Linked DNA regions of Caenorhabditis elegans. The protein of the gene in region 3 interacts with the protein of the main gene of each other region in a pairwise test. Each region holds a gene or a part of one and is shown on either strand. Other genes may lie near its edges. The genes, in order: F38B7.2, ubql-1, ubq-2 and ahcy-1.

Evidence for each region.
Region 1: the proteins of ubq-2 (region 3) and F38B7.2 interact in a two-hybrid assay, tested with the Caenorhabditis elegans proteins (one large-scale study listed by BioGRID).
Region 2: the proteins of ubq-2 (region 3) and ubql-1 interact in a two-hybrid assay, tested with the Caenorhabditis elegans proteins (one large-scale study listed by BioGRID).
Region 4: the proteins of ubq-2 (region 3) and ahcy-1 interact in a two-hybrid assay, tested with the Caenorhabditis elegans proteins (one large-scale study listed by BioGRID).

Annotation. Positions count from the first base shown.
Region 1 is NC_003283.11:11,539,828-11,547,223, forward strand, and holds F38B7.2 (CX domain-containing protein), read left to right. Parts: upstream 1-3,775; 5' UTR 3,776-4,190; coding exon 4,191-4,282; intron 4,283-4,544; coding exon of another isoform or gene 4,545-4,606; coding exon 4,607-4,844; intron 4,845-4,891; coding exon 4,892-5,004; intron 5,005-5,048; coding exon 5,049-5,292; 3' UTR 5,293-5,463; downstream 5,464-7,396. Other genes in the region: ccch-1 (C3H1-type domain-containing protein), read left to right, coding at 1-22, 75-154, 242-357; F38B7.10 (CX domain-containing protein), read left to right, coding at 5,709-6,035, 6,086-6,198, 6,252-6,549; F38B7.11 (CX domain-containing protein), read left to right, coding at 7,268-7,271, 7,323-7,396.
Region 2 is NC_003279.8:7,018,123-7,029,238, forward strand, and holds ubql-1 (Ubiquilin), read left to right. Parts: upstream 1-3,859; coding exon 3,860-3,952; intron 3,953-4,074; coding exon 4,075-4,180; intron 4,181-4,225; coding exon 4,226-4,533; intron 4,534-4,641; coding exon 4,642-4,770; intron 4,771-5,334; coding exon 5,335-5,578; intron 5,579-5,904; coding exon 5,905-6,044; intron 6,045-6,089; coding exon 6,090-6,173; intron 6,174-6,219; coding exon 6,220-6,332; intron 6,333-6,379; coding exon 6,380-6,445; intron 6,446-6,489; coding exon 6,490-6,550; coding exon of another isoform or gene 6,551-6,571; exon of another isoform or gene 6,572-6,601; intron 6,602-10,440; coding exon 10,441-10,543; intron 10,544-10,591; coding exon 10,592-10,653; 3' UTR 10,654-10,952; downstream 10,953-11,116. Other genes in the region: pdi-3 (Protein disulfide-isomerase), read right to left, coding at 2,435-2,665. UniProt on the Caenorhabditis elegans protein: May play a role in the ER-associated protein degradation pathway (ERAD) possibly via its interaction with ER-localized proteins ubxn-4 and cdc-48.1 and/or cdc48.2, providing a link between the polyubiquitinated ERAD substrates and the proteasome.
Region 3 is NC_003281.10:12,976,277-12,982,529, reverse strand, and holds ubq-2 (Ubiquitin), read left to right. Parts: upstream 1-4,006; 5' UTR 4,007-4,008; coding exon 4,009-4,147; intron 4,148-4,224; coding exon 4,225-4,311; intron 4,312-4,360; coding exon 4,361-4,521; 3' UTR 4,522-4,567; downstream 4,568-6,253. Other genes in the region: dbd-14 (DB domain-containing protein), read right to left, coding at 25-255, 1,378-1,437; frg-1 (Protein FRG1 homolog), read right to left, coding at 2,418-2,663, 2,718-3,228, 3,288-3,355; ZK1010.2 (DUF155 domain-containing protein), read left to right, coding at 4,668-5,191, 5,773-6,153.
Region 4 is NC_003279.8:6,831,489-6,838,640, forward strand, and holds ahcy-1 (Adenosylhomocysteinase), read left to right. Parts: upstream 1-4,980; 5' UTR 4,981-4,996; coding exon 4,997-5,218; intron 5,219-5,286; coding exon 5,287-6,042; intron 6,043-6,110; coding exon 6,111-6,446; 3' UTR 6,447-6,652; downstream 6,653-7,152. Other genes in the region: teg-4 (Splicing factor 3B subunit 3), read left to right, coding at 1,097-1,195, 1,913-2,125, 2,178-2,321, 2,368-2,472, 2,595-2,690, 2,870-2,914; dpf-3 (Dipeptidyl Peptidase Four (IV) family), read left to right, coding at 6,866-7,039, 7,086-7,152. UniProt on the Caenorhabditis elegans protein: Adenosylhomocysteine is a competitive inhibitor of S-adenosyl-L-methionine-dependent methyl transferase reactions; therefore adenosylhomocysteinase may play a key role in the control of methylations via regulation of the intracellular concentration of adenosylhomocysteine.

The DNA.
Region 1 (7,396 bases), on a different chromosome or scaffold from region 3:
TATCGTACGATCAGTCAAATTTGTGAGTTTTTACAAACTTCAATTGATATTTGTTGAATTTCGTAAATTTTCAGAAACGACAGCCAATTCAGCAACTTGCTGAATGACATTTGTCAATGGAATATTGAAGATTCATTATCTACTCCTTTCTCAGGCAATCTTTAATTTTGCAATCTTTAGCAATTGTGAACAAATAAACTTAAAAAAAAAACGTAAATATTTTTAATTTGTTTTATTTTAGGATTCTTGCCATCAAAATGGTCAACAACAACAGAAGAAACGTCACCAGCGACCACAACCCCAGTGTCAACACCCGGTCGTTTGCCTGTTTTTGCGCAGCTCAGTAATCCCCAATAAAATTTGAACTGCTTCCTATTCCGAGAGAACCGTCCATTTTCAGGGATTTCTAGAAAGGTTCCACCAAAGTTTAGCCTAATATCTTTCCAATATCGAGTATACTAATAATTACCGTTTCTTGTTATGTTTTCAATTTTCTATGTATAGTTTAGTGCCCCCTTCCCACTTCCCCTACTTCAAAATGTATCTATGCCGCTAGTTGACACCCCCATTTTATCAATATTTTTCAGCCCGATGTCCTTCTTTTCCCAATCAAATCTCTTCATTATTTTATTACTTCAATTTTGACGACTTCTTCATCAAAAACCGAACAATTGTACCTATGTAACTTATGCGCTTTCGAGACGTTTTGAGTGCCTTAACCCACAAAATTGTACAATAATGTTCAAATTCCGAGTAGATCTAACTTATTTGATTTGTGAAATCTGCATGCTTTCTTTCAAATTTCATGTATTTGTACATCTACCATCCCATCCCACCGCTAGCCTTTTGTGTCGTACAGTCCAACTTTTTTTTCTCTTCTCTTCTAATTTATTCATCCGTTTTCCCAACATTCTTTCTACTCAAAAAACATTTCTTTCACACATTGTCAACTAGCTGTATACATTTTGCATTATTTCTTTACAATTTTAAGTTTATATAAGTGCAACTAATATATCGTTTTTTATCGTCAAACTACCCTCTAATTCTTTTCTAATTTACTGCTTTTACACCGCGCATTTTTTTCTATATTTAAACTTTGTTCCTCGTTCGCTAGAATTTAATTTCAACTTGTACAACAAACATAGTTTCACTAATGTCGAGTAGTTTTTAATTTTCATACTTTTTCCGTGTCTCAATCATTTTTCCCCCATCTTCCTCGATTTGCGTCTTGTCCTTATCATGAGAAAATCCCGGTTTCTGCTGCCCCTTTCCCATTTTATTTTCTGAAAACTGTTTTTAAAATTATATTTCCCATGTTTTTTATTTCGATTTGTCTTTTTTTTTCTTCTCCCATATTTGCATAACTTTTATAATAAAGTTCACTTCTTTTTGAATTTAATTTGATTTATTTGAAACAGAAATTTTAAGAATAATTGAAAGCAGATATCTGGGAAAAGTTTTTTCAAACAATTTAAGCCGTTCTTAGGAAAATACATTTAAAATTGTTTTTGTTTCGCAAAAAAACTCAGTAAAAAAATAATTTTGCCCAGATAATCCGAATTTTTTGAGACAGTACGGACCAACGGCTATGGAGCCCCTATTATTAGAGGGGTTTAGAAGATGTCCATTTCATTGGGGCATTTTATTGGCGTCAGCATCTCTACCGACCAGCTGGTTTGGGCATACCCAGATGTTTTAAAATTTACAGAAAAATCGCATTTTCGACGAACATCACATTTTTCTAGAGTTTCAAAAAAGCGTCCATGCCTTGAAAAATTAGCAGGCATGTAAAAACATGAGTTTTTATTAGTAACAAAAGTGTTCCATTATTTGGTTTATTCATTGATATTTTGAACTAACTATGAATCACCTTGAACTTTGAAAATGAAATTACGAACAAAGTTTTGCGACACTTCTGGTATCAACTTTGGAATGCAGTGCGCAAAGTGTCAAGATCAAACGATTCTCAAAATGCGTATAAATGACGTCGTGTATATTTTCGATGAAATCATCATTGCCTCCTCCAAAACCCAGTGTTGATTTTTCATGTAGTGTCACTAACGAGTACAAATGGTTCAAATTACAGAATTATATTTCTACACAAGTTTTTAAAAAATTACCGCAATCGCAATAGCTAAGAAATTTGTTTATTTGCGGTTCCATTCAAAAAAATTACAATTTTACAAATTCTTCACTTTGTGTAGTTGGCAGAATTTAAAACTAAATTTAAATTACTTTAACTTTATCTTGAATGACAGATTTTTAAATTGAAATAAGTAAACTTCTACAAATTGTGATTGATCTCCAATAATTGTTTGCGACAGGTTAAAATTGTTAACTTATATTTTTCAGTGTAATTTGCACTAAAAACAATGTTTTCAGAAGTGGTCACTCGGCATTTACCTGCAGCTTCTTGCCCAACTTTAGCTCTCAGCAGCTTCTTACCCAAGTTTAGCCAACGTTTCATCCAAGTTTAGCCCAAGTCTGACCGAAGTTTAAGTTTTCTAATGCAAACTATCCCACCAAACTTTGGCCAAACTTAGGTCCAAGTTTCGCCAAAGTCTCGCCCAACTTTGAACACGCGGCGCGCCGCCGAGGGCGCCCTCGGCGGACAAAAAATAGGAATTTTGTGACTGGAACTGTTTAAATATCATTATTATTTTGCTAATTTAAAGTAAATCCGTGAAGAATGTTTTCTGTTGTGATTAAATTTGAGTTTAATTTTTTAAAATCAATTTTTGATAGCTAAAAGTTGTTATTCTCCGATCATTTAATCAAAATTTTGAACTACTCGAAAAGCTTTTCTGAAATACTGACCCCTCGAGAATTTGCTTGGCACTTGATACTTGATAGAGTGTTCAGAATGTTGGGTTCTGAAGAAAAATGGTATCAATAGAAAACTGAAATTCATTCATTATGATTTAGCATTATCGAATACAGTACTGACTGAAAATTAACCTAAACCTATGAGAATGGCTACGCGTAAGTAGAAACAACAGTTTGCAATATTAATATTGAAATTAATAAAATATTCTCGCGCGACCATCATGGCTCAACAGGTAATTATAAGAGATCAGCACAACTTGTAGAGATCAGCACAACTTATAAGAGATCAGCACAACGGGAAAAACGATCGGAGTTCAACATACAGGTGAATCTTGGGCTAAACTTGGGTTAAACTTGGGCTAAACTTGGGCAAAACTTGGGCTGAGTGAGAGTGGGCTACACAGCGGTTGACTTTTTTCCTTTTTTGACGCATCGCCCAAGTTTGACCCAAGTGTGGCCCAAGTTTGGCCAGCTTCTAATCCATGTTAATTTTTTTTGGGCGAAACTTGGATTAAAAGCTGTGAAACATGGGCAAGAATCTGGCGGCGAATGCCGAGCAGCCTGAAATTTTTTAAAAATATGTTTATCAATTATATTCCACAAATCAATAAATATGCATATTGTTTTTTATATAGCAGATTATAATTATCAATTATCTCTTTTTTGGTTCTTTGTCTGCCAAGGAACAAGTTTACTCTCTAAAAACAATGAAGACGTGATTTCTCTAAAAAAAAATCCTCGAAACAAGTTATCTTGCTGGTTGCACTGTTCATTTTTTTTTAAATTTTGACCGTACTATTTTCAAAATAACTTTTAAATGTGAAATTTAACATTCAATTCTGATTAAATTTAACCTTTTTCGAAGATGAATCTATGAACCTACTATCGAATCCTTATCAACATCGCTTGATAAAATCTTGATCAACAAACCAGTCTTTCTCCGACAAGAAAATTTTCATTAGTTTAATCTCAGTGCGTACATTTAGATACCACTATTATCTGCATTTTTCAGTAATTTTTTGGTGTCCAACCTATCATGCACCCAACCAAGAATTAAGTCTCAAGAAGGTCTTTGTTGTTTCTTATATTAGTTTTCCTGCCACTCAATTCGACCCCGAAGGCCAAAAAGTACCGGTTCTCGGTGATATTCTCGCAAGTGACATCACTGTTTTTACCCCTTCTTTTCTTTCCTCTTAACTTTAAACTTTTCATCAATTGATTTGATGAAAAACGGTGATTTCATTAAATAATCTTCTGTGAAGTTGTTTGATCTTGACGTCAATAAGGAAAAGAACGTTCTGGCTTCAGTGGGTGGAAAGTATCACTTGATATAGTCATTTGGATTATATCGTAAATCTATTTACATGCATTATACTCCCGGTTTTGTTCTATTGATGCTACCACTTGGTATTCTTGGAATTGTTAGAGAAAGACCACGAACAGTCACGTATCATGCGTAAGTTTTTTTTTCATGTTTTCAAGCTTTCAAGTTGAAAGAAAATCAACATTTTTTATTGATTGTTCAGTTAATAAATTCCCACCATATAGGCTGGTCAATTATTACTGGCAGATTCACAAGTTTATTTCTTACTTTAAATTGTCTATAATAAAGTTGTGCTTTTGGTGAATATGAAAGAGATACAACTGTTGAAAAATGAGCCCTAAAAAACTTAAAATTGAAGAAAATTCTAGTACACAAACAATTTCCTGTTAGTCCTATGCATGTTTCCAAAATTCAGAACTTTTATTCAAACCTTGTTCTTGAAATTAAAATTTTCAGAGACATCTCCACAAATTTCTACCCTCGATTTGTCAAAACCGTCTTCGCAGAGGAATCACATAACTTTGATGTGATAGAAAATAAGACTGGCAAATTTTATTTCATTCATCCCGATACGCCAATCGAATTCGAAAAATATAAATATTACTGGAATGAGTCACACGCTGATTTGAAAGGAGTGAAAAATCTTTGCGAATATCGTATAAATTGGATGATTGATTCAAAAGAAATGTATGAGGTGAGAAATTTCATTTTTGATTAAGCACTGGAATTGAAGTTTTTCAGACATTTTCCCCTGAAAATACACAAATGAAATCATTATTTTATCGTTGCCATTTTGCGCAAACGTGCATGGGATTGGAATGCAAAATTGACAGCCGACTTTTTGTACCACCAATGTAAGATTTATTTTTTGAATTTCCGGCCAATAATGAGATTTCAGATTTCTTCTAATTTTCATTTCAATCTTTTGGTGTTTCAAGAGAATGTTACGAAGAGATATGAAACGTGTTGAGCGTCAGACATCATTCCACATAATGGACCCAACAAATCCAGCACATCGATCTCCACCACCACCATACAATGCACAAAACTCTGCTATACCGCCGCCATACCATAATGCTCGACATGGAAGAGTATCTCGATCAAATTCTCATTCTCGGTCAAGATCAAATTCACGTTCTTAATCAGTGCTTCAAGTATTTACCAGTTTAAAGACGTGCTTCTGTACAACACGTGCACGAGGTCAAATACTTTCCATAGAGCATGTTTTAAACAAAATAACGTTTTTGTGCTAACGGGTTGTTTTATAATCAGGATTTGTTTAGTTTAGTTTAAAAATAAATAATTGAATTTGGAGTTCGTCAGTTTGGGAAAAATTGAATACACTCAAAATTATAATTTTTCAAAATTTCATAATAAAGCTAAATTTAAAAACTACAAAATCACTTCAATCCATTGAATAGTTAAAACGTTTTTTTTTTCAAATAATTTACGACGATGATTTACTGAAATCGTTTGACGTAATCAATGCAGTGTGAAATTCAAATAGGTAAGAGAGCAGTGGTAACTAAGGCAACACTCCTGCTTTCTTTTTGTGGGCATGCGAATGAGCTCTGTTTACTTACAAATCTGCATGTTGATTTTGATTTTGGCATTACTCATTCAAAAATATAATTTAATCAATTTAAGATATAAAAATGAAAACAACTATTACCGTTTTGTTCGTAGTGCGTACGCAACGAACATAAATCATCTGGATTTTGTTGAATACAACGGAAATGAAATTTTCATAAATCATCCAGAAAAGGCATTTTATTTTGATCAATATATGTATTATTGGGATGATAATCATGATGACTTGAAAGGTTTCGATAGTATTTGTGAATACGCACTTTTTGGTTTTCTAGATGCCCCTCAATTGTCAAAGGTTCTAGATTTCTTTCTGAAGTAATAGTTTTTAACGTTGTTTTTTTAAAGACATACTTTCCCAATATGACTCGGTCAACAAGTATTTTCTTTCATTGTTCTTCTTCTTTCACTACCTGTTCGGGATTAGAATGTGAATTGAAACAATCTTGTTGGAATATAATGTAAGTGACTTTCAACATTTTTAAGATTGAAATATATTGCAATTCTATTTTAGATTGATTTTAATAGCTGTTTTCATTCTAATTTATCCCATTAAACTTTTATGGGATTTTTTGATAAAAAGACAAAAACAAATAGCCCATCAACGAAGAATGTCATTATCCAATCACGAAACAAATAATCCCGCCGCTCCAGTGTTTGAGTGCTCTCCGCCGTCTCCTCCGCTAATGCTTCACGATGTCGATCTGCCTCCGTCCTATAATTCAGCATGCTTGAATTCACCTCCATCCTACGAGGCAGTTATTCAAGGAAAAGTATTGTTTACAGTGTCATCCTATTCCCCAGTTGTGTAACATTTAAGCAGGGCTAATGAAACTCGTTTAGTAATATTGTGAACTTTTGGTTTGTTGAATTCATATGCAATAAACACTTTTTATGAATGATTTAATTGGCAGACGCCTATAGATGTATGTATATAAATTGTTCATAAAGTAATTTCTGCTACCAATTTTCATGATCAAAATAAACAAAAAACACTTGCAATTTTGTTCAACTTCGTTGAAAAAATGAAGTTGCGACCGAAGTCCGTGATTTTGGAGCCCGAGCCAACATTTTTTCAGAATCATCTTAGTATCTTATTCAAAAGATTTTTACTAGTTGTCAACCGCTCAACTCAATGAGGGAACTATGCTATATTGATTTGTTTTCTTATTTTAATTATTAGCGGTGTGATTATTCCATGCGAAAAGATCATAAGCAAGAAAAAACCGAAGTGCAAATGTTTTTCACATTCATGTATATGCTTTCTAACATCACTTCAGCTATCTCTGACTTTCAGAAGATCTGAAATATTCGATTTACGAAAAGACAACTTGACGTAATCGCTTTCAGAAAATGCGTATGCAGTGTTGGTATCTAAGGCAACTATCGCACATCCAACTTTCTTTTTAAATCAGGTGAAATAGCGTGGCTCTTTTCATTTCCTTTTCATGATCTTTTTTCCCATGTTTAAATTATTTTTGCTTAGTTTAATACAATTATCCGAAGCAATTACAACTAAAAGAGCGTATTATGAGTAAGTAGTATTTAAAAAAAAACAATATTTTACCTAAAAGTGTGATTTCAGGCCGTATTTTCTCGAAAAATATGACTTTTTTTCATTCTGAGACTCGTTTCGGAACTCCCTATCACATAATTAAT
Region 2 (11,116 bases), on a different chromosome or scaffold from region 3:
TAAGTTACGACACCATGAAATGTTTTTCAAACTTTGGATATACTTTGCGAGACCATGATTCAGAACAGGGGTGTGCGGCAAATGGAAAAAATTGCCGAGCTCGGCAAATCGGCAATTGCTGGTTTTTCAAAATTTGCCGTGCTTAACAAACTCGGAAAATTTTGATAATTTTTGATGTTTTTTGGAACACCAAAACTACCGAATTCTTAACACACATCTGGTTTCTGAATTAGTTCCGTGTAGTATGTCTGCTTAAGCATAAAACTAACTCAATTTTGTGTCATTTTACTAAATTTTTGGCGAAAAAATCAATAATTTTACTCAAAATTGTACTGTAAAATTTTTGACGTGTGCGGCAAATTTCGAAATTTGCCGAGCTCGGCAAATTCGGCAAATCTACCTTTTTGAAATTTGCCGTGCTCGGCAAATCGGCAATTGCTGGTTTTTTCAAATTTGCCGAATTCGGCAAATCGGCAAATTTGCCGAGCTCGGCAAGTCGGCAATTTTCGGCAAATTTGCCGCACACCCCTGATTCAGAAATCCATTGATTATGTATTGGAACATGGCCACAACGCTGCACTTTTCGTCATATTGCAGAAGTGAATAAACAAGATGTGTCAACCAAAATGATTTGAACAGGCTCTTTCAACATTATTATAATACACCCACGTTATTACTATGTGATCGTCACTATCGTCGTCCAATAAATAAAACTAATCGATGAAATCTTTCCAATACCTTGAAACGATCGAATTAATCAAAAAGTATTCGGTCATGTTTTTGATTCTTACTATTAGGATACTGAAATTACCTCTATTAGTGTCACATGCCAGACTAAGCTACGAATGACCCTTAGCTTTGGAAACTATATGACGCAGTTGAAAAAATACATATAAAGAATATATTTGAAAATTTTGAAACTATTCAGGCAAGTCTATTAGAGGCTGCATCACTAATTTTTGATCGACTCTCTTGGATGCGATATTGGCAGAGAAATCAGTATTTCATTCACATGCATCATCCTATTCCTTTTCAGAGATATTAAAACTTAAATTATTGAAATTCAACTTTTAAAAAAATGCAAGCTAATTCAAGCATTTTAAAATTAGCTTTAAATATCATATTTTCAATTCGAATTAAAACATGATCGACTGATTGAAATTGGAGAACATTTTCATTTTCACGACAACAGGGCCGGCTCCCGCAATCTAGGGTGCTGTGTAGCACATGATTTGGTGACCATCAAGGGTGTCAAGTCCCGTGTCCCGTTGTCCCGTTTTTTGGGTGTTTTCACGGGAACGGGACGTCCCGTTGTCCCGTTTTTAAAATTATCACGGGAACGGGACGTCCCGCTGTCCCGTTTTTGAGCGTTTTCACGGGAACGGGATGTCCCGTTGTCCCGTTTTTTGGGTGTTTTCGCGGGAACGGGACATCCCACTGTCCCGTTTTTGTAATTTTTACGGGACACTGACACCCTTGGTGACCATCCCTAACTACTTGTTTTCTAACGATAACATGCGTTGCTAATTTTAGAATCACGAAATTACAACGAAGTCGGTCAAATGAAGTTTTATGGCCTCTTTTCATTGAAAAAACTCCGGAAAATGTGTCAGAGCCGTACAACGCAAGGAGGTGGATCTTATATTTTCTCGAAAACTTGAGCGTGACGCCCATTTTTCTGGGTCTTTGCGGCAAGCTCCGCCTTTTTTCGGATAACACTGGGAAAGAGATTTCGAGAATTTTACAAAGATACACGTGAAAAGAAGAGGAATTGTTTGCCAAAAGGAACACCGTAAAATGTTTAATTGAAAAAGTCTGTCAATTACTGCTTCAAAAATTTCAAACATATACTATTCTCTATGGCAATGCACATGTGATAGATCGTTTTCGAGATAATATTGAATTTACTGTTTCAAAACTGAGAATTCTTAAAGGGGGGCTGGATTCCTATTACTAAACCGTGGTTCAAATCTTTGTTTCTTTTTTTTTACAATCTTCAACTTCAAAAACATAATCTTTTGTTTCATTTACTACCATATCGCACTCGTTTGTGGTATAGATAAAACTGTTTGCTACGCGACTGGTGTTTTTGCTCTTATCGTTAATTGATGTCCGTATTCTGTAGAGTAAAGACCTGACAACAAACAGTGATTTGATGCGTGGGAAAATGTAAATGTCGAGCCGATCTCATTGTCAATGGCCTTTTGAATACACAATAACCATTTTGGACCAGCATACATAATATATATGACGGACAAATGTTTCTATATGCATAAGGACTAGAACAATAAATTCAAAGAATCCTTTGTATGCATTTCATATATTTCTATTCAATGTGGCTTTCGTTGCTGTTTTATCAGCTTTCGCGTATTTGTCAGTGTCACTGCGATCGATATATGAGCGATGGCTGTGTAAATAAGTATGGTTATCTTACCTTGACGAGAGCGACTGGTGGATCGTTAGATGCGAGTTTTGGGGCAGCTCTCTCATACTCTGGGGCAATTTTCTTGCAGTGTCCGCACCAGGGAGCGTAGAACTTGACAAGAGCAATGTCGTGGGTTTGGATGAGATCATCGAAGTTTCCGTCGGTATACTCGAGAACGGCTCCTCCAGCACTGGCGAACGCCAGGAAGGAGGCGACCAAAGCTGCCTGGACCCAAATCATTACCTAAAAACTTTACCTATAAACGACAATCGATCGAGTGAGTTTAGAGGGCGAGAGATTATCGGGAACACCGACAAAAAGTTAAAAACTAAGAAACAAGATTAGAGGTTTTCAGATTATTCAGAAATATTTTCTAGAAATTGAGCGAACGATTGAAGAGAAGGGAAGGTGTTTTCGCAATTAACAAACCGCGATCGCATCGAAAACGTGAGCCGCTTGACGCGAAACGTGTTTTCGTGGCGAGATACCGCGAGCGGTAAAATCAATGCGCCTTTACTTTATTTATTTTTTTTTCGCATTTATTTTCATTCTTTTCTGTGAATCACATGTGAATGGACAAATACAGATTGTTTCGGGTTCAATTTTAAGTATTTACAAACACTTTTCAAAAATTATCTTTAATAAGTGGAAAATACAGTTAGTAAATAACTATAAATTTTAAGCTTAGAAGAAGAAAGCCAAAAAACATGTGTTGTATGGAGGAGAAATTTTATATAGACTCGGGGAGCGTTATATCACTTTTAATGATATTATTACTAATAATCCAGAAAATGCAGAGCAGAAGCATAAAAATAGACCCGAATTGTTAAGGTCCACGTGGCGCTCGTGTGTACACCAGGGATTGGTAGGAACTGAGCCAAAAACACGTCGTTCACTGCCTGTCGCACGCGTGTTGTGTGCCGATTGGCCTCATTCTTGTGAGAACTCCGCCCAATGGGTCTCGCACGGAAGAGGCGACCATCATGTGTCGATTTACGCAACTACCGCATCATTTTATTGATCATTGTTTTTTATTCATTTTATGACCTGATATAGAAGGAATCGACGTTAAATTGGAAGGCAAATTGATTGGAGCGCCATTTAGAACTTTAATTTCTTATTTTTATTGTAAATTTGAATCGATAAAAGGAACAAAAAGATCACCATGGAAACCAAATTAGTCATCACGTGCATATTGAAGCTCGCGCGTCAGGAAGAATTGTGTCTTCGTTTATCTTCGTTTATTTTCTATCGAAGAGACCCATTACATTATTACATTATTCGGTCTGAAATAGTTGCGAAATTTCTTTTTGCGCTTCGAGAATATTCTCGATTTATCGATGCAACGTGTTCTTTTCCGTCTCCGCCTCTCATTCTCTCAATCCTTTTTCTTTATTTAATTTTGTCGGTTTTTTAATATTTCTCAAATTTAAGATGGCTACAGAGAGTGCACTCATCAAAGTTCACGTGAAATCACCGTCGAACAAGTATGACGTTGAGATTGCTGCGGATGCATCAGTTTCAGAAGTATGTTATATTTTATTTAAAAAATAAAATTTTGCTCTTGAGAATTAGATAAAAATTCAAGTGATTATTCCATTTTGATAAATTAAATGTGTAAATCACAGTGTTTAATTAATATTTTACAGCTAAAAGACAAGGTTCTTGTGTTCGTTCCAACTGCGAACAAAGAACAAGTTTGTATAATTTACACCGGAAAAATTCTGAAGGATGAAGAAACTCTCACACAGCACAGTAAGTTGAAAAATGTGTTCCAAAAAATAATAAACAAAAATTTAGAAATCGCTGATGGTCACACCGTCCACTTGGTTATTAGAAATCAAGCCCGTCCAACACCAGCGCCGGCTGCTGCAACACCAACAGCTTCATCTGCACCAAGTTCCAATCCAACACCTTCTTCACAACCGAATCCTACCAATAATCCATTTGCAGCAATGGGAGGAATGGGATCACCTGCTGATATTTTAAACAATCCAGATGCTATGCGTTCAGTTATGGATAATCCAATTACACAACAACTTCTAGGAAATCCAGAGTTTATGAGAACAATTATTCAATCCAACCCACAATTCCAAGCATTGATTGAGGTTCGAGTTTTTCCTGGATATTTGTTTTGTAAATTTTCGGATTCGAAAAATTATTTAATTTTTTAATCTTCCACATTTCTCTCGTATATCGACAATAAATATTTTCAGAGAAATCCAGAAGTTGGACACATTCTCAACGATCCGAATGTAATGCGTCAAACTATGGAGATGATTCGTAATCCAAATATGTTCCAAGAAATGATGCGGAATCATGATCAAGCTATTAGGAATCTTCAGGTACATTATATATAGCTATGCTGATCAAGGGATGCCATTTTTCAATTTTTCAATGTTTTCAGCGAAAATCGAAACATCGAAGAAAAAAAGTCCAGAAAATTATCAATAAAATTTGATTTTTATCAAGTTGTGTGACACACAACTTGTGTCATATATGTTGGTGACAAAAAACATACGAAGACATTTTAATGTTATCTAACAATTGTCTAAAAAAAAGAAAAATTACCAAAATTTAATACCATTTTTTAAAAATTGAAAAAGTCGGTTTTTTCTCTCTAAAATCGAAAAACGAAAAATTCTGATTTTTCAGTTTTAGTTTTAAAAAATCGATCAAGGATGCCGATCTAAATGTCTAAATATGACTATTAAAAGTAATTAATTGTTATTTTAATTGATATGGCAAAAAATTGCTAATTTTTTTTTAATATCAGGGGTACATTTCTGGAAACTATATATTCCATCCCAGCCGCGCTACAGGGGTTTTTGTCTTGAATTCCAATTTCAACAGATTTTCCTTTTTTTCGGTTGGATTTGTTATTTTATGTTGAAACATTCAATTTTCAGGGAATTCCCGGAGGAGAAGCTGCTCTTGAACGGTTGTACAATGATGTACAGGAGCCCTTGCTCAATAGTGCAACAAATTCGCTCAGTGGAAATCCATTTGCTTCTCTAAGAGGTGATCAGAGCAGTGAGCCACGTGTCGATCGTGCTGGACAAGAAAATAATGAAGCTCTGCCAAATCCATGGGCTTCAAACGCCAATCAAGCTACCAATAATCAATCGAATAATCGTTCTGCTGACTTTAATTGTAAGTTTTTCTGAGTCAAATTTCTCTAAGTAAAAAAAAATCTTACATTAAAATCATATAATAATCAATGACGAGTGGCAAATGCCAAATATCAATTTGCCGAAAAAATTAAAAAATTGTAAATGTGAAAAAAGATTTTCAGCAATGTATTTTTGAACATTTTCCTTAAAAAATTTCCAACAAAAATTTCAAAACGACAAATTTCCAATTCGCCCAATTTTACGTCTGCCGCCCACCATTTATTATAATTTTAAACAAAATATTTAAACGTCACGAATATCCTCATAGTTTAGTGATCCGTTAATAATGTTTTAATTCATATTCAGCATTGCTTGATTCACCTGGCATCAGCTCCCTAATGGAGCAGATGATGTCCAATCCAAGTATGCAGGCCAGTATGTTCAGCCCAGAAGTCATCAATTCAATTCGTCAAAATATGTCAAACAATCCTGGACTCATTGATTCCGTTAGTTTCATTTTTAAAAAATTTAAAATAATTATGTAAGTTCAGATTGTTGGACAAATTCCATCGGCTCGTGATAACCCACAGATTTCCGAAGGAATTCGTAGAAGTTTTCCACAAATGCTCAACATGGTTTATTTTCTAAATTTTTACAAAAATTTATATTTCAAAATTTCAGATGTCTGATCCATCTGTGATGGAGGCAATGAGAAACCCACGGGTCAGTGAAGCATTCCGTCAAATTCAAGAGGGATTTTCAACTCTTCGCAGAGAAGCACCTCAACTTTTGAAGTATTTGAAAATACCATTTAGTCAAAAACTATTTAAAATTATTTTAGCCTTTTCCAAGCTGGAGCAATGGGAGGTGGAGCATTCGGTTCTGATGCCAATGCATCTTCTGCTGGGTTCGTTGATAGTTTTTATAGCTGATAGTTTTTTCTCATTTCAGAGCAAACTCTGCAAACGGACTTGCCGATTTATTCAATTCAATGAATATGGGAGGAGGAAGAGTGAGTATATTGAATATTTGATTTCTTATGTCACTTCTTATGGGAGCAGAGGTGATTATTTTCAAGTTCGGCCTTCTCGAATTGTCTAGAAAAAAAAATATTCAGAGTGAAATAACGAGATAATAAGATTTTATGAACTGAAAAAGAGAAAATTTCTATTTAAAAAGCTAAAAAAAAAGCATTACTACTGTAGAAATCAGTTTTTCTTATTTTTTATTCATTGCAAAATTTGAAAACTCGACAATAGCCTATTTTTGGATTGTGAATTTATCGAAGTGGTAAAATTTTTTTAATCGGCAATTGCCAAAACTTTCTATTGTCTGTATGATAGTTATTGAAACATCATGGGTTCAAAGAACTTTTTCAGCTAATTGAACTATTTTAAGCTTTCCTTTCTAATTCAATCGACAGATCGATTTAGAATAATATCACCGAATCCAATAATTTCCCATAGTATAGTTTTTTTTATACTTCCCTCTCGATTCCGTGGTCTTTTGAATTTTCCAAATTGAAATGAAAATTTGGATGATTAGTTGAAGCCTCACATCAAATGAAGTTCCCCCTTCATTTCATATATCAAAGTTTTTGCTCAAATTTAGAAGCTGATGAGTTGCGCCGAGTCGCCGTTTGCTCTGTGACAGCGACGGAAGTGCGCGAGCAAGAAAGAAGAAGTCATCGTGTGTCTGTTCTGAATAATGTAACAAGACGATGCTCCGTCTTCTGCTTCTTCTGTGCCGTCGTCGCTGAGCAGAAGCAAAAGTCGGCTCGTTTGACATGCTATGGATAAATGTTAGATAATGAGTATAAAGTGACGAAGACGATGGCAAACTGATGACAGCGTGCACGATCGAAAATCTTTTCCTGTTTGCTCAGAAAATGCAATTATCATATCGAATTTCATTTAGACCCCGGTGGCGTATCTAAAATTGTTTCGAAATTCTGATGTCTCGGCCCTTTCTACAGACAGAATATACTCTTAGAAAAGAGAAGTGTGGGAGATTTATCATGAGTTCCCCCAGTGAAAGAGGAAGGCCCCTCATTTCCTTGTCTTTTAATTTTTGATGATTGTTAGACGAAACAATTTGAATTGGAAACAAAAGCAATAATTTCTGCATTTTTCGTTTTCATCACTTGACATAGGAAGTGTGAAAGGCGGGCATCTTATCCATACGAATAGATCAGATTTTTTAATTTTCGTCGACGTTGCACTACTGGACCGAATGCTCTCGCATCACACAACACATTGTTGGCACATACATGTTATATGTCATTTTACATTTTCGATTAATTTTGTTCAATACCAAAACGTGGATGAGTGTGTGTATGTATGTGCATTGCCCACATAAAATGATATTAGTAGGCGCACATAAAAACGTTGATCGACAAAGGCTCGTCTCTTCACATAAATATTACACATTTCACAGCAAAAAAAACTATGTTCAATAATCAGATCTTTTTTGGGATGAGAGGGCAACACAAAAGCTGAAAGGAAACTTTCTTATCACAGAACCTTCAATTTTAGTAGATGTGATCTTCACTACATTAGGGGTTATTTGTACGCACAATGCCAAATTTTCGGAAAGTTGAGCTTTTTGTAAAGTTTAGAGCATTATTCCATGTTCGACACCCTAAAATGTTTTAATACAAAAAATTAAATTATAATACTTGAATAATTGCCTATTTTCGGTCGAATTCCAAAATTAAAATAGGTGGTATCTAGGTAGTTGCCAATTTCGACTGCAAATTAGGAAACTTGATTTTTCGAGAAGTTTTACTACGATATCTGATCTATATTTCTTTTTTCTTCGGCCCCTTTAATAAGCAAATCAGTGTTGCTCTTTTTGCTTCCCGCAATTGTTAGGAGCACATGTTTTGTGGCATATTTAGGATGCGCGACGACGTATTTGCACACACACACACACACACATTCCACGGATCGGATGTCACTATAATCTCATCTTGTAAGCGGTTACGCTGCTATCAAATTTATCCCGTATGTTTCAAGCAATTGGCCACAACATTTGTTCTCCCCCTTTTTGTTATAACTGCTGCTGCAGCTTTTGTCTCATTAGATGATTGTTTTGACGACATTTGCATAGATCATAGTAAACGATGTGTCTCCAGGAATATTGTGTAATGGAATAGTGCGCGAGGTTGGTGCGCATGATGAGAGCAGATAGGAAAAAGGACGGCGACGTTCCCCTTTTATTCATTCAACAATTGTCTAATCGGCGATTGTGTGGAACACGCGCCGTGCCATACACGTATTTCATTTCATAAAGAGGCAGCTGGCGAACATCTTCCGGTCTTCTCGTTTCCCGCCTTTTTTGTTAAGATGAGCCGATGCAAATGATATTCGAAGTGATTAGTAGTGGAGTCTATTAGGAGCCGACGTCCGAAACGATGGGATGATCTGTTCAGTGGCAAAACACTTAGTGTCTTTTGAATAGGCATTCGATTGGTTTTCTTGTTCTTACAATAGACAGATGGCTGGTTGCATGGGAAACAGTTCTTTCGAACACCTGTATCAAACCTGTGATATAGTTATTTTATAGTAGAACATCGCTTCTCTTGCTCAGATCATATTGAAACCTTGATTTTTGCATTAAGGATAAACAATAAATTCAAATATCTAAAATTGTTTCTCCTTTAAAGTAGTTCCCTTAAAATTACGATAGCTAAATCCGAAACATAGTCCAATCATTTCTTCTCATTAATTAGTATGTTGATGGAATTGTAGGGACATGTGTAGAGAGTGGAGGACACGTTGTATCACTTAATGCATGTTGTCGAACTCGTCAAAGTATGGTGTAATGCATAAATCGAATGAACGGAAAGATGCGGTAGTGCTGGTCACAATAGGAAGAAGAACAAGAGGGGTCCCATGCAAAAACACATATGACGCGTCGATTCGTCCAACTGCTCCTCTTCCTGTCTCTGTTATTATTGAGAACAACACACTCATAGATATAAATGCACAGATACTCGTTGTTCGCGCACTCATTTGTTTCGAAACATGACAAGCAAAATGCGTTTTTAGAAGATAAACATCGTAGCACTGACTCGTAATATGTAATGAACAATTAAGAAGCAGCTCTACGCATGCTATGTGCATTTCCCTCATGTTTTCAAAATTGCCTATTCTCAGAGGAAATGTTAATTTGTGTCTGTGTGGGTATGTATGTGCATCATTTCAATCAAGTGCTCCGCTCTCCTATAGACCATATTTTTTGTTTCTTGGGAATAGATTTTGGAATGATTGCCTTCCAAATACAAAGATGGATGGATTTGGAATTGAGCCTCTAGCACAACAATAATTGAGTTTTCAAAGTTTTCATGTGACCACTAAAGTTTTAAAAACGAAACCCAATACTTTTTTAGGAGATTCCCCAGAAGCTATAAATTAAAAGAAGTCTAAAATAATCTAAAATTCATATAATCAATTTTGACATTTTCTCAATTACTGTAAGACTCCTAAGTTCATATGATCCCTTGTGGAGGCAATGTCAAAACCGATATATGTGCGTGTCAAATCTTCAATATTGAGACAGCCGCATCGCTCTGAGTGATTAGTGCTAGTAACCGAAATATGAAGAAGCGGTGTGATGTCTCTTTATCTCCTGCTCTCCCTCAGGTGTTGAGATGATGGTGGTAGTGGTAGCCAACTGTTGCTCTTCGCAAAGCGCTGAGCTCTTTTGTTGTGAATACACGTCGCAATCATCAAATGACACATTAATCATATCTTGGAGAATGAGTCGGTCGATAAAAGAGAGAAATGTACCTTCGATCAAATCGCAACTCTTTTAGTTCCTCCCAGCTCCCAGACCGCTGATCGGCGACTATGATTGATTGATTAACCCACAAATGACACTAACGTGAGAAATTTTCAGCCCTCATCGACTGCTGCACCAGTGAATCCGGAGCAAACCTATGCATCACAACTCGAACAACTTCAATCGATGGGCTTCTCGGATCGTGCCAGAAATGTGGCAGGTATGTTGATAATATTTGATTTGTGTATAAGTAAAGTATGATTTACAGCGCTGACCGCAACGTTCGGAGATCTCAACGCGGCTGTCGAACGTCTTCTCAACTCTCCATAGATCCCCAATTGCCACACATACCTATTTCCCACACACACAACCCTCCGCCGATTCCTTCCACTATCATTTTTTTCTGTAAACTTAACTTGGTCTGTGATCTTGCTTCTCGCCTATCCAAAGGTTATCCTTTTAAATCTTTATTCTAAAATGTGAACAACTAGTATATTCGTTCTTCTAGTATCACCCTTCCACCAGTTTAAAATTATTCTTTTGTATTCCGTACCAGTTCAAGTATAAGTTATTTTCTTTTGGTATTGCGTATTCATTCATAAATTCGAGCTTCGTTGGAGCTTCCTGGCAATCCTCTTATTGACAGATGTCTTAGAAAAGCAAGAACAGTTCAATTGGGTGGAGTCTGGAGAAGATGTGCTCTCGGAGCCGTCAGAGCAATCTGCTAATTCATTGTCCTCTTTTTGAATGCGACAATCCATTTTTATCTACGAATCCCTTTTTTATTTTCAGG
Region 3 (6,253 bases):
AAAATGTCACCCTTCTTATCGTACCTTCAGCTTCGGTAATCCCACTGGACCACCAACTTCTCTCGAATTTTCCTTGGAATTTCCAGAGTCATCGATAAAGATTCCCTCGACTTTTTGTGTCACTGCACTTCTGGCGCGGTTCCTCGCACAACCGTACTGTCCACAAGAGTAGCCGGGTTGACATGACGATGGAGAGCATGAGACTGCCGGCGGAGCAGCACAGTATGATGAGCCACACACTCCGGATGATAAGCACTGAAAAGAGTTTCAGAAATTTTTAACGCAAATGTATAATATTTGCAAAATCTGTTATATTTTCTTTTCTATCCAAAATGAACATTTCTGTACAATTTGGCGCCTGTAGCAGTCACTATGACTGAGATCGTGACGAGACCCAAAATAGCGCGTGCCAGAATTTCGCGAAATTGTGATACCCACCAGAGATTTTTTTTTGTTGAAGAAATCGATTTTTTTTTGATGTGGAAATGTTTCGTGGCACACTCAATCTCGCCAGGAGCATAAGTTTTTCAAAAAATTTGGCGCGAAAAATTGTGTGCGCCTTTAAAAAAACTAGTAACCAATTTCCAAGTTTTCTTCGATTTTCCAAAATTTTCTCTGGATTTTAGGGAATTTTCGTGTATCACGGGAACACGAAATTCAATTTTTGCGTATTGCACAACACATTTGACGCGCAAAATGTCTCGTAGCGAAAACTACAGTAATTTTTTAAATGACTACTGTAGCGCTTGTGTCGATATACAGGCTCGGGTGGATTAAAATATTATTTTTTATCGATAAAATATTAAAATTAAGCTAAAAATGAGAAAATAATGCTGCGATTTCAAATATTAATTAATTTTAAAAAATCGAGCCCGTAAATCGACACAAGCGCTACAGTAGTCATTTAAGAAATTACTGTAGTTTTTGCTACGAAATATTTCGCGCGTCAAATATGTTGTGCAAGAAGAATTTTAAGAATTTTGTGTTCCCGTAATATTTCAGTGTAGTTTTTCAACAGAAAAAGATTTTTTAAGAAAAAAAAAAGAAAATGGGTTACTGTAATTCTTAAAGGCGCACACCTTTCTGTTCAAAAAATAAATTAAATGTCGCTCTGTACGAGACCCGGAATCGTAGTTTTAGTTGAAAAATTGCAATTTCAGCTTTAAAATAAATTTAAAAATATAAAAATAGGCTACTGTAATTCTTAAAAGCGCACACCGTTTTTGTTCAAAAATATATAAATATATATCGTTCTTTGCGAGACCTGGCAAATCGTAATTTTAGTTGAAAAATTGCAATTTCAGCTTCAAAATACCTTTTAAAAATCTAAAAATCATATTTTCGAGACCTATTTTTTTTTAATTTCCAAATACTCACAGCCTCGGTAACCACTGCACCGGCAACTAATACTAGAAAAATTGTAGTAGACTTTGCCATTTTTTTTTTCGGCAGAATTTGGTAAACTACAGTTCATATGCCTCCTCTTTTATACAACAACATCCGGTGAATTGACAGTGGAACCGGATTTCCATATGGAGTATAGGCGAAAGGAAGGTACGATTTCAAGGAAAAGAGTGGAGGGGAAGTACTTGAAGCTTGCATGCCATCCAAGGACGGCATATGGCCTTCATTAATCTCGTCTCGGAAGAGAAAACTTTGAAAAAGCGAGCTGAAGCTGAATTCAGTGGGAAAATTGCTTTGAAACGTCACAAAAAGTCACAAAATTGGGTCACAATGACCGAATATCATGATTAAAAAAAAAATCAAAAAAATGTTCTAGATTTTATATGATTTTTTGAAAATTAGAAAAATCTCAGTTTTCCCCCTAATTCCTATTTGAATTTCCGCCAATTGGATTTGTTCGATGGAGCGCGCTTGCATTATTTTAGTTAATTAATTTTTATTTATTCTCGTTATTTGACTGATTTCCTTCATTATTTGTGTATTTTTATCTAAAAAAAGAGAGAAAAATGCAAATCGTTCATTAAAAAATCACTGAAAATTGGTAAAACTTGTGTGAAAAATGCTAATTTCAGACTTGTTGTCGTCGGAACTCATAATTTTATAGTTTTACGCATTTTCAGTGATGTTTTAATGAACAATTTTCATTTATCTTGCATTTTTCTCTCTTTTTCCAATAAAAATACACAAGTAATAAAGGAAATCAGTCAAATAACGAGAATAAATAAGATTAAATTTTAAAAATAATGCAAGCGCGCCCCGTCGAACAAACTTAATTGGCGGTAATTCAAATAGTGAAAACTGAGATTTTTGGTGGCCCTATAAGAGCTCTTATAAGAGTATTTTAAAGCAATTTCCCCATTGACGATACTCCATCCTTAAACAAAAAAAGAAAGTAAAAGAATAATTATTAGAGAATTTATTGAATTTTACAGAACAAATACAAGTGAAGATTATTAACAATATCGATCAGATTTCATTTTCATCCGTCTGTCCAGCAGCAGCTCGTGTGCACTTCCGTCGGCCTGCGCTTTCTTAACTCCTTTCTTGTCCTTCACGTCAATCGCAATATGTCGGTTCTTGAGATCAACCTTCGAGTGCTGATACATCTTCACGTAGGCCGTCTCACACTCCCGAGCGTTTTTGCGGTCTTCCACAGATCTCCAATCGACTGGGCCTTCTTGTATAGCGTCTGTACGGATCTGGAAATTGAATTTAATCGGATTTTATCTATTTATATCTAAATTAGCACTTACATTAACCATTTCATTCTCCGTAGCGGTTCTACTAGCCACATAAATATGCCCCTCTTTATTTGGAACTGTAGAGAGGAAAAGTGGTGAGGAGACGGCTTGGAACGCGGTTTTTCCCTCCTGGAAAACCAACACGAATTGCTCGCGGGATCCAATAGCTTCAGCCATGGCAACCAATTGATATTCGCTGTCCACTCCAACATATCTTCCGAATCCTGTCTTCAAACTGATTTTACTATCGTCTGGAGTTTTGACGAGCGCGAAAATTTCCTCAGGATTCGGGCCTTCTCCCTCCGGATGTGGAAATCCAATTGTGAATTTTCCGTTGTCCATTGCAGCGACATAAGTTCGCGTTGAGCCGGCTCCACTGGCAACTTCGATGGCGACGTTGGTTCCTCCTTTCATATCGAATTCATCGGCAATTTTGCGCCAACCACCATTTTCGACGGTGTCTGGATCGATTTTCTCCTTGTCGTCTTTGTTCTTCTTCTTTTTCTCCTTTCCCACTTTGAATCTGCAACGAGTGAATTAATGGAGGATTTTATACACTTTAAACTTGAATATGTCACTTACAAATTCTTTTTTCCGGCTTTTAATTTCAATCCACCACCTTTTACAGCACTGTAGTCAGCGCCTGGCATTTTTTGAAGTTTTCTGCAATAAAAAACAAAATTTTCATCAATAAAACTGTAAATTTCATAACAAAACTCGAAGAAATCAATAAAAAAACGTTCGAAAAACGTTTGAAACAAAAAAATAATATTCGAATTCTTCTCCCCCTTCCCGTAAATCCTGCAGCTCTCTACCGTACTTTCGCCGTCTCTCAATTTCGCGGCGAGACCCATCACCACGGCAATCCTCCATTTGTGTCGCTGGGCCTAAATTTTTTCCGTTTTTTTGCTCGATTTTCGCCGTTTCTCTGCGAAATTTTTCCAAATTTCTGTTCAATTTAATCAAAATATTGTTCTGGACGCTTGTTCAGCATAGAAAGTGGAGATTCTGTTGTATTTTAAGCTTGGAAAACGAATTTATTATGAAATTTCATTTTTTTGCTAAATAATTTCTCTATTCTTGAATTTTTACAGCTTTTTAACGCAAAATATTCTTTCCTCTTTGTTCTAAATGGGTAGTTACACACATTATGCGGTCTATAACGTCTTTTGTCACCTTTGAAACTAGTCTCTAAAGAAAAATCAATAATTTTTGCCCCTACGCTCTCCTCCAAATGTTTCGCTCTCGCCGTCATTTTCTGACAATTTTACTCGGTTTCTTTTCAAATTATATAATTTCAGTCATGCAAATCTTCGTCAAGACTCTGACGGGTAAGACTATTACCCTCGAAGTCGAGGCTTCCGATACCATTGAGAATGTCAAGGCCAAGATCCAAGACAAGGAGGGAATCCCACCAGATCAGCAAAGATTGATCTTCGCCGGTACGTTATTATTCAGACCTGATATATTCTTGAATTAATTTCCGGGCAAAACACCCAATATAATTTTCTAATTTCAGGAAAGCAACTCGAGGATGGACGTACTCTCTCCGACTACAACATCCAAAAGGAGTCTACTCTCCACTTGGTGCTCCGTCTTCGTGGAGGTTAGTTTTTTTCTAATGTTCAGGCATTGAGAAATATTTCTAAATTCAGGAATCATCGAGCCATCTCTCCGTCAGCTCGCCCAGAAGTACAACTGCGACAAGCAGATCTGCAGAAAGTGCTATGCTCGTCTCCCACCACGTGCCAGCAACTGCAGAAAGAAGAAGTGCGGACACTCCAGCGAGCTCCGCATCAAGAAGAAGCTGAAGTAATCTTCACTCGTTCCAGTCCATGTGTTGGCAAATAAATCGTTAATTTTAATTGAATGTCGCTATTTGTGCAAAACGTAAATTTCGTAAATATTGGATTTTTGGAATGAGATTTGTACATGGTAACAAAGAATCATTATAAAATACAGATGCTCAAATCAATACTTCGGGGAGCTCTAGTAGCTACAAAGCCGGGTCCAGCCAGGCGCCAGTTCTCATTCACAGCACTTCTGCGGAGCGAGACCCAGCCCAAAGAGATAATTAATCTGGAACGGGTTCAAGTTAGAAAGATGAAGAAGAGACGCCCAGTTGCTTCATCGGTTGTTCCAAAATCCCTACGAGAACCTTCAGTCGTCGCCATGGCACTTTCAGAATCACTGAACCTCAATGAGGTCATCATGGATGCACAGCTCAATGGAATGTATAATATAACTGCAATCGACGAGGACGCGGATGACAGCTTGCACTTTGTCAAAAAACTGGAATATACCATCAATCCAGGCGAACTCAGTGAAATTTTCGTGTTTCGAGATGGAGTTGTCGTTTTTTGGAACGTTGATTCTAGTCAGCGATCGCATATTCTACGGGAGCTCGAACGATACGCAGATGCTCCATATGACTCGATGATTGTGATGGATGAGCAGGATAGAATGTTCTATAAATTTTCAGAGCAGTACGTTTTCTCTTGAAATCGTCAAATTTGCAAAAAAAAAACGGCGCCGCACAGAAATAGAGGCGGGCGTAATTTCGCAACCCTGTGGCACGGTTTTTACTTCTTTTTTTTTAAATTTGAGTTTTAGCCTCACAACCTTATGATAATCAAATTGGATAACATTTCATTCAAAAAAAGAAAGTAAGTAAAAACCGTGCCGCAGGGTTGCAAAATTACGCCCCGCCTCTTTTTCTGTGCGACACTGCTTTTTTGTTGCAAAATTCACTTTTTTTGTTCAAAAAAGAAAATTTAGATAATTTTCTCCAATAGAAGCTTCAAAATTAGGAAAAACTCGACAAAAATTCAAAAATTTACAATTTTTTATTAATATAAGCGAAATTTGCAAAACAAAACGGCGCCGCACAGATATAGAGGCGGGGCGTCATTTTGCAACCCTGCGGCATGGTTTTTCCTCTTTTTTTTTTGCAAAATTTGCAATTTTTAACTCAAAAAAAAAAGAAAAATAAAATGACATTTTCCAGCAGAAACTTTAAAATTAAGAAAAACTCAAAAGTATTAAAAAAGAAAATTATTATTTCCAGGTCTACAGGATCCACCATTCGTCAAGATCGTTTCTACCTCTCGGGAAAACATTTGGACGCCTTCCACGGCTCGAACGAAGCAATTTTAGAGCGATTTGCACTCAGTCAGGGATTCGCTGCTTCCGTGAAAATCGGAGTCTGGGAAAGTCTTCTAAACAATCTTGCGGAGCCACTCTCCAACACTACAAAATCGCTAACTCTGGGAAAGATTCCGTGGAGCCGGAAGCAGGCTCTCATGAGATCCGGAGAATTCGCAGCTCTTCGACACTCGATTAATCTTGATTGTACCCTGTTGAATAAGGATTTCTATTGGGAACGACCTGAATTGGAGAAATATTATACGATGACGGGACGCCATTTCTCACTAGACAGACGGATAGGGTTAGGAATCTGAAAAAATCGCGAAAAAAATTCAAATTAAAAAGAGTGTGCGCCTTTAAAAAATTTTGTTTTTTTTTTAAAATATATTCCAAAAAAGGCG
Region 4 (7,152 bases), on a different chromosome or scaffold from region 3:
GGGTTGTTTTTGAATGAAGAGGATAAGATTTGAAAGAAAACTGAGAGGATCCTCTTCCCATAGAAAAAGAGAGTGAAACACATAAATACCTTTATTGTTAAAAACTACGAAAGAACCTATTTCCTGTTTTTTCTCAAATTTCTCTCGTTTTAAACCTAAATACTTTAGACAAAGAATGTATTGTTTCGGAATTATTTACCGTATTCTTTTTCTGTAAAATTTGATAAAATTGGATCTACGAAAAACAGAAAATGAGAACGAGATTATTTTATGTTTCCTCGCCTTTTATTTAGTTTCGGGACTTGCTAATTCAAAATTAGTCAGGCTTATTAGTTTCTCAGGGCCATCTCGAATCTATGATTTTCCTCAAACTCTAGAAAATTAAGACTCTGAACGACTGAAAACGAGGAGCAGACTGTCTCTGAACAAAGTATGAAAATTCTGAAGCAGAGGAGAAAAAGAAAGACGTGACACAAGTTTAATTGTTCAGAGAGAAAGAAAAGAGCACGACCGGCGAAATATTTCGGAGAGCAGAATACAACGACTAAGAAAAAATGTTGAAATTGCAGGAGAATGTTGGGCGACACGTCTTCCGGTCCATTTTTTGTGTTTTCGGTTTTCCTGTGGTCTGTCTAAATATCGCTCATTTATTTCGTTTCTGAGGATCTTTTAGGAGATCCACATGTAATTTTTTTAGAAAGATTTATGAGAGAAAACATAATTTCTTGTGAAGAGAAAACTTGATAGTTTCTAAAATGAGAACATTTCGTGTTTTGACAGGAAATAAATTCGAGAACAGAAATTTGAGACAATGCCCCTCTAGCATATAAATGTATTCTATTTATTTTGTTTACAAGATGATGATACTGGGGGCTCGAAGAATCTCCCAAGGGAAAATGAATGGAGGTAAAATGACGAGAATCGGGAACTAGTTAGTAAAATTGAATACTCAGAAAAAATGAAGGTGGCTTGAACAAAAAGAATTCGTGTGAATAATGGGTTTCTTGGATGAAAACATTGCAGGGAAAAAATAACTATTTGAAAAATTGTCCACAAAAAAAATATGGGCTCCGTACTTTAATTTACAAATTTTCAGAATTTCCCAGTTTCAATTGTCAATATTCAATCAACAGGACAACGAATCATCGTCTCGGATAGCCAAGAATCTGTTCACTTTTTAAGATATCGGAAAGGAGTAGGTTTTGAAACTCATTACATCTTAAAATGGAGTATGATGAAATTTTCTTATAGAAAAATATAGAAAATTAACCTTAATGACCGAAAAATGTTTAAAAAACTAGGATTTTCATGATTTTTTTTTCAATTTTTTTCAAACAATTTCAATTGGAAATTCTGAAAATAAATCATTTATTTATACAAATTTCAAAAAAAATTCAAAATTTTTTAAAATTACTATCAATACTGGCCATTTGCTATATTTTTTTTAAATTCAGGAGATATCCCACCTTTAATATTGAGAAAAATTCATTTTAGTGAAAAATGCCAAGAAATGGGCGGGGCCTATTTTTACTTTTTTCTTCGCGCGAATTTTCTATCTTAAAAACTCGAAAAAAGAACTTCAGAAAAGTGAAAATAAGTTTTGTCTTTTTCTGTATTTTATTCGGTTTTTCAGAAAACTATATTTTTTGTTTTAGTTTTCCAGATTGTCGGGTTGTCGAGTTTTCGGTTGTGCTAAAAAATCGACATAGCCGAAGGACAAAAAAAAACCAAAAAAAAAAATTCATATCGCAATTTTGTCATTATTCTTCCCGTTTAACCAGTTTATAATTAATTTTTGAGTTTGTGTTCTTTCCACCAAAAAATATTCCAGAAAGTGATAGGCAATTTAGAAATACATATTTACTTTTATAAATGTTATGTTGAATATATTCATGAAAATGAATTTTTGAAGGATAATCAATTGGTTGTATTCGCTGATGACACAACTCCCCGTTACGTGACATGTGTTTGTGTTCTTGATTATCATACTGTAGCTGTTGCTGATAAGTTCGGAAATTTGGCAGTTGTTCGTCTTCCGGAAAGAGTTAATGAAGATGTACAGGATGATCCAACTGTATCGAAGAGTGTTTGGGATCGTGGATGGCTTAATGGAGCTTCACAAAAGGTATTTTCAAATGGTTTATTACAATTATTTTTTGAGAAATAATTTGTTTCAGGTCGAACTTGTTTCGAATTTCTTCATCGGTGACACGATTACAAGCCTTCAGAAGACGTCATTAATGCCTGGAGCAAATGAAGCATTAGTATATACAACAATTGGTGGAGCTATTGGATGTTTGGTTTCGTTCATGTCAAAAGATGTAAGATTTTTGATGGAATTTTTTGAATATTTCATTTTATTTTCAGGAAGTCGACTTTTTCACAAATCTGGAAATGCATGTTCGCAGTGAATATCCGCCATTGTGTGGCCGTGATCATCTTGCTTATAGAAGTTACTACGCACCATGCAAGGTTGGTTTTGTCGAGTTTAACTCTCTCAATAATTTGGCCATTTTTTGTAAAGTTTTCAAACAAAACCGTCAATTTTCTTGATTTAAAAATATTTCTTAAATGAAATAAAAATTTATTTTCAGAGTGTAATCGATGGTGATATTTGCGAGCAGTTCAGCTTGATGGATACACAGAAACAGAAGGATGTTGCTGAAGAATTGGGAAAAACTGTCAGCGAGGTATGAATATTTTGTTTCAAATTGGAATCTCGGAGATTTCTAATGGATTAGATAAGAAACAAGAAATTCCTAACGAGATTATGCAATTTCAAGACAACAGAAACATGAGAAAGTGATCAGAAAATTATTAAAACTACAAAAAATTTCCATATTATAGCCTAAATTAAATTAATTTTCAGATCTCAAAGAAGTTGGAAGACATTCGCACTCGCTACGCCTTTTAACATAATTTATTTATTTTTATTTGTTGAATTTCTACATTTTTATTTCATTTTTAAATGTTTTTTCTCCTGATTCTCTCATTTGATCTTCGTTTCCTCCCGTCCCAACCTATTCCCATCCTAAAATTATAAATTGTTAAATAACTTTCTTAAAAGATTTTTTCAGGAAATCTCTCCTTTTTACCTTTCACTAATATTCTTTTACTCCTTTTTTGTTTCTCGTGCGCCGATTGTTAACAAGATCACCATGATATAATCATTGAGATAAGAGAAGAAACATAAAATATGAGACATTGTGAATGGCGTGATGTGTAGCTGATCAGCTGTCTGGAATTCCAGATGAGGTATACGGTCGAAGTGGGTCTAGAAAAATTCGCCTTGCCAAAATTTCCGATACTAAATTACAAAAATCATTTTCCGGGAAATAGATATCTCAGAGAAACTGCACCGGATTCTCAGCATTCGAGGATTTTGGAAAAACCAAAAGAAATTTTATTTGGAAAATTAAATGAAGTCTATTCTAGGAGATTAAAACATTAAAAAGTTTATAGAATTCTATTAGACATTAAAACCACCTGAACTTTGCAAAATTGATAAGCGAAACCTAATTGTCTACGAAATTGGCGGCGGAGGGCATTTCGAAAAAAGAACTACGATAAGAAGTGACCTTGGATGATAGAAAGTAAGAGATACATAGATCTCTAATAGATTCTTCTAGAATTTAACGAGATTTGCAAAGAAAATTTTAGTTTTAATTGTAATGAGCAAAATTATATTTCAGAACACAGTTATATTTCAGAACATATCACTTAGAAATTTTGAAACTGTCCCGGTCGACGTCTTGCATGAAAAATTACATTATCCAAATTGAGGCGCCACATTGTAAAAAATGTGTCAAAAATAGAAAATTAATTTTTGAATTTCCCTCGCTTTCCTCTTTCTCTGCTTTCTCTCAAGCTCTTATCATTCCTGCACATCTAACATAGAAAAGTACACAGAAGCGGAGAATGAGAGACGCAGCACATCCACGACGAAAAGTGGGCGGAGACTGATGTGGCACAGGCATTTGGGTGCTATAAAAGGCCGCCGTTGGGCCAGAAATAACGCCGTAGGAATACGGGCTAGCAAAAAAAAAAGAAAGTGATTTTTCCCTTTCAGACTGAAAAGGTACTGAATCATTCTAGAACAAGAGGAAAGTGGGGGAAATCTATCATCGACGAATCCTAAAATTTAATCTGAAACGTGATATCCTTTTCTAGGTCGTACAGAATCTTCAAAGAAATCTGCGGTGGTGTGGAATTCAGGAAGGTCACTTTACCAAAGCTATCGGCCAAAGTAATCTTACATTTTACAAGGCTATCAAGATTTTATCGCCAATTCTCCATAAATAACGCTGTCTTGACGGTTGACGAGCATCGCAGGATGCATATCTCACCTCATGTGTCAATACGTTTTTTTCTTAAATTTTCTTTAGTAATTTTCAAATAAAAATCATCGTTTCGCGGCGAGTAAGTCCAAATTTTAGGCCTTCGTGGCGGGACCCACTGAGAAAAATCACTGCGCCTTTGATCGAAACAGTAGAAATTTCGAAAAAGCTTTCTTTTTGGGAAAAGTTTTTGCAAAGTTCCTCGCTTTGTTTTATGTTTAAAAGACCGACTAGTTGTAAATTTCTTCGTCATGGTTCCAGATTTAATAGATTTTCCCACATATTAAACTCTAAAACCTAAAAAAGTTCTCGTCCACTAACTATCTTCCGTATTTTCGGGTTTACTTATTTACACATGGATTATTGTTTTTTTCCATTTAAAAATTGATGTTTTGGCAATCCACGTAAGCCAAGGTTGTTTTTGTTTATTTTCGATTCTCTGATAAACAAAAACAACTTATAAATTGGAAAATAACCTTCTCACAATCAGTTTTTTTTTCTTCACAAACTCTTGTTTTATCCTTTTCACAGCCGAACTTTCAAAAAAGTGTCTCATTTTTTTTCTTTATTTCCGTCTTATGGACTTCTTCGCTTCTCTTCCCTATCCGTCCTGCAGATTAAAATAAATTTCTAATTATTTCAGGTAAAACACATTCGCAATGGCCCAGTCTAAGCCAGCTTACAAGGTCGCTGATATCAAGCTCGCCGATTTCGGACGCAAGGAGATCATCCTTGCTGAGAATGAGATGCCAGGACTTATGGCTATGCGCTCCAAGTACGGACCATCCCAGCCATTGAAGGGAGCTAGAATCGCCGGATGTCTCCACATGACCATCCAAACCGCTGTTCTCATTGAGACTCTTACTGCTCTCGGAGCTGAGGTAAATCTTGTTTTTTGAAAGAATTAGTATTAAAATAAGTTGGTTTGAAAAATCGAAACTTTTTCCAGGTCCAATGGTCTTCCTGCAACATCTTCTCCACCCAAGATCACGCTGCTGCCGCCATTGCCCAGACCGGAGTCCCAGTCTACGCCTGGAAGGGAGAGACCGACGAGGAATACGAATGGTGCATTGAGCAAACTATCGTCTTCAAGGATGGACAACCACTCAACATGATCCTTGATGATGGAGGTGATCTTACCAACTTGGTTCACGCCAAGTACCCACAATACCTCGCTGGAATCCGCGGACTTTCCGAGGAGACCACCACTGGAGTCCACAACTTGGCTAAGATGCTCGCCAAGGGAGACCTTAAGGTTCCAGCTATCAACGTCAACGACTCTGTCACCAAGTCCAAGTTCGACAACTTGTACGGAATCCGCGAGTCTCTCCCAGACGGAATCAAGCGCGCCACTGATGTTATGCTCGCCGGAAAGGTAGCCGTTGTCGCTGGATACGGAGATGTCGGAAAGGGATCTGCTGCTTCCCTCAAGGCTTTCGGTTCCCGTGTCATTGTCACCGAGATCGATCCAATCAATGCTCTTCAAGCCGCTATGGAAGGATACGAAGTGACCACCCTCGAGGAGGCTGCACCAAAGGCTAACATCATTGTCACCACCACTGGATGCAAGGACATCGTTACCGGAAAGCACTTCGAGCTTCTTCCAAATGACGCTATCGTCTGCAACGTTGGTCACTTCGATTGCGAGATTGACGTCAAATGGCTCAACACCAATGCCACCAAGAAGGACACCATCAAGCCACAGGTAAGAAAATGTTCAGAATTAGGATGAATTCACAATCATCGATAGAAGTTTGAACCAACTTTTTTCAGGTTGACCGTTACACCCTCAAGAACGGACGTCACGTCATCCTCCTTGCCGAAGGACGTCTTGTCAACCTTGGATGTGCCACCGGACATCCATCTTTCGTCATGTCCAACTCCTTCACCAACCAAGTTCTCGCTCAAGTTGAGCTCTGGACCAAGTTCGGAACTCCACAAGAATACAAGCTCGGACTCTACGTTCTTCCAAAAACCCTTGACGAGGAGGTCGCTTATCTTCACTTGGCTCAATTGGGAGTTAAGCTTACTAAGCTTTCCGACGAGCAAGCTTCATACCTTGGAGTTCCAGTTGCCGGACCATACAAGCCAGACCACTACAGATATTAATTTTGTTGGTTCTACCCCATACGGATATTTTTTTAACTGTTTTAAATTGTATTGCCCTCAAACTTCATATGATCTTGAACTGGTTGTATTGTTCCCCATCTACCCGCTTTTCCCCCAAATACATAATCGCCTGATTTAGTCGTTTTTCTTCAACTCGTTGATTTGGTTCTGTTGTTTGTCTTTTGGACATAAATGTTTTATGGAGTAACTTTGACGATTGTTTGAGAAATTATTCTGAAAACGTTTGATTAGGCGTGAGTTTATCGAATTTTCAGATCTACGCCCGGGAAATTTCAAGCAGGGAAAAACAAATTTTAAATTTGTCGGGGTGAAGGGCGCTCTATTGATAAATAAGTTCTTTATTTCTCTCAACGCTTCACTCATTTCGTGTTTCACTTTTTATATTTACAGAAATTCCCATGATGTTCAATTTTTATCAGTTTCTCTATAACCTGCAAAATGTTTCCCCATTTATTGATTTTTCAGTACTAAAACAACTTACCCACACGAAAATGAGGGAAAATGAGCCGGCAAGATTTGAGACTCGTTCATTCAGTCAATTAATAGATCATGCAAGAAGTTGGAAGACGGAGGTTCGAAAAATGATTTAAAAAATATTATTTCGATAAACTGATTCAGGTGCGCGGCATGACAACACAAGGATTCACAAAAATTAGCCTCATGCGTGCAGAAAAAGATCGTCTCA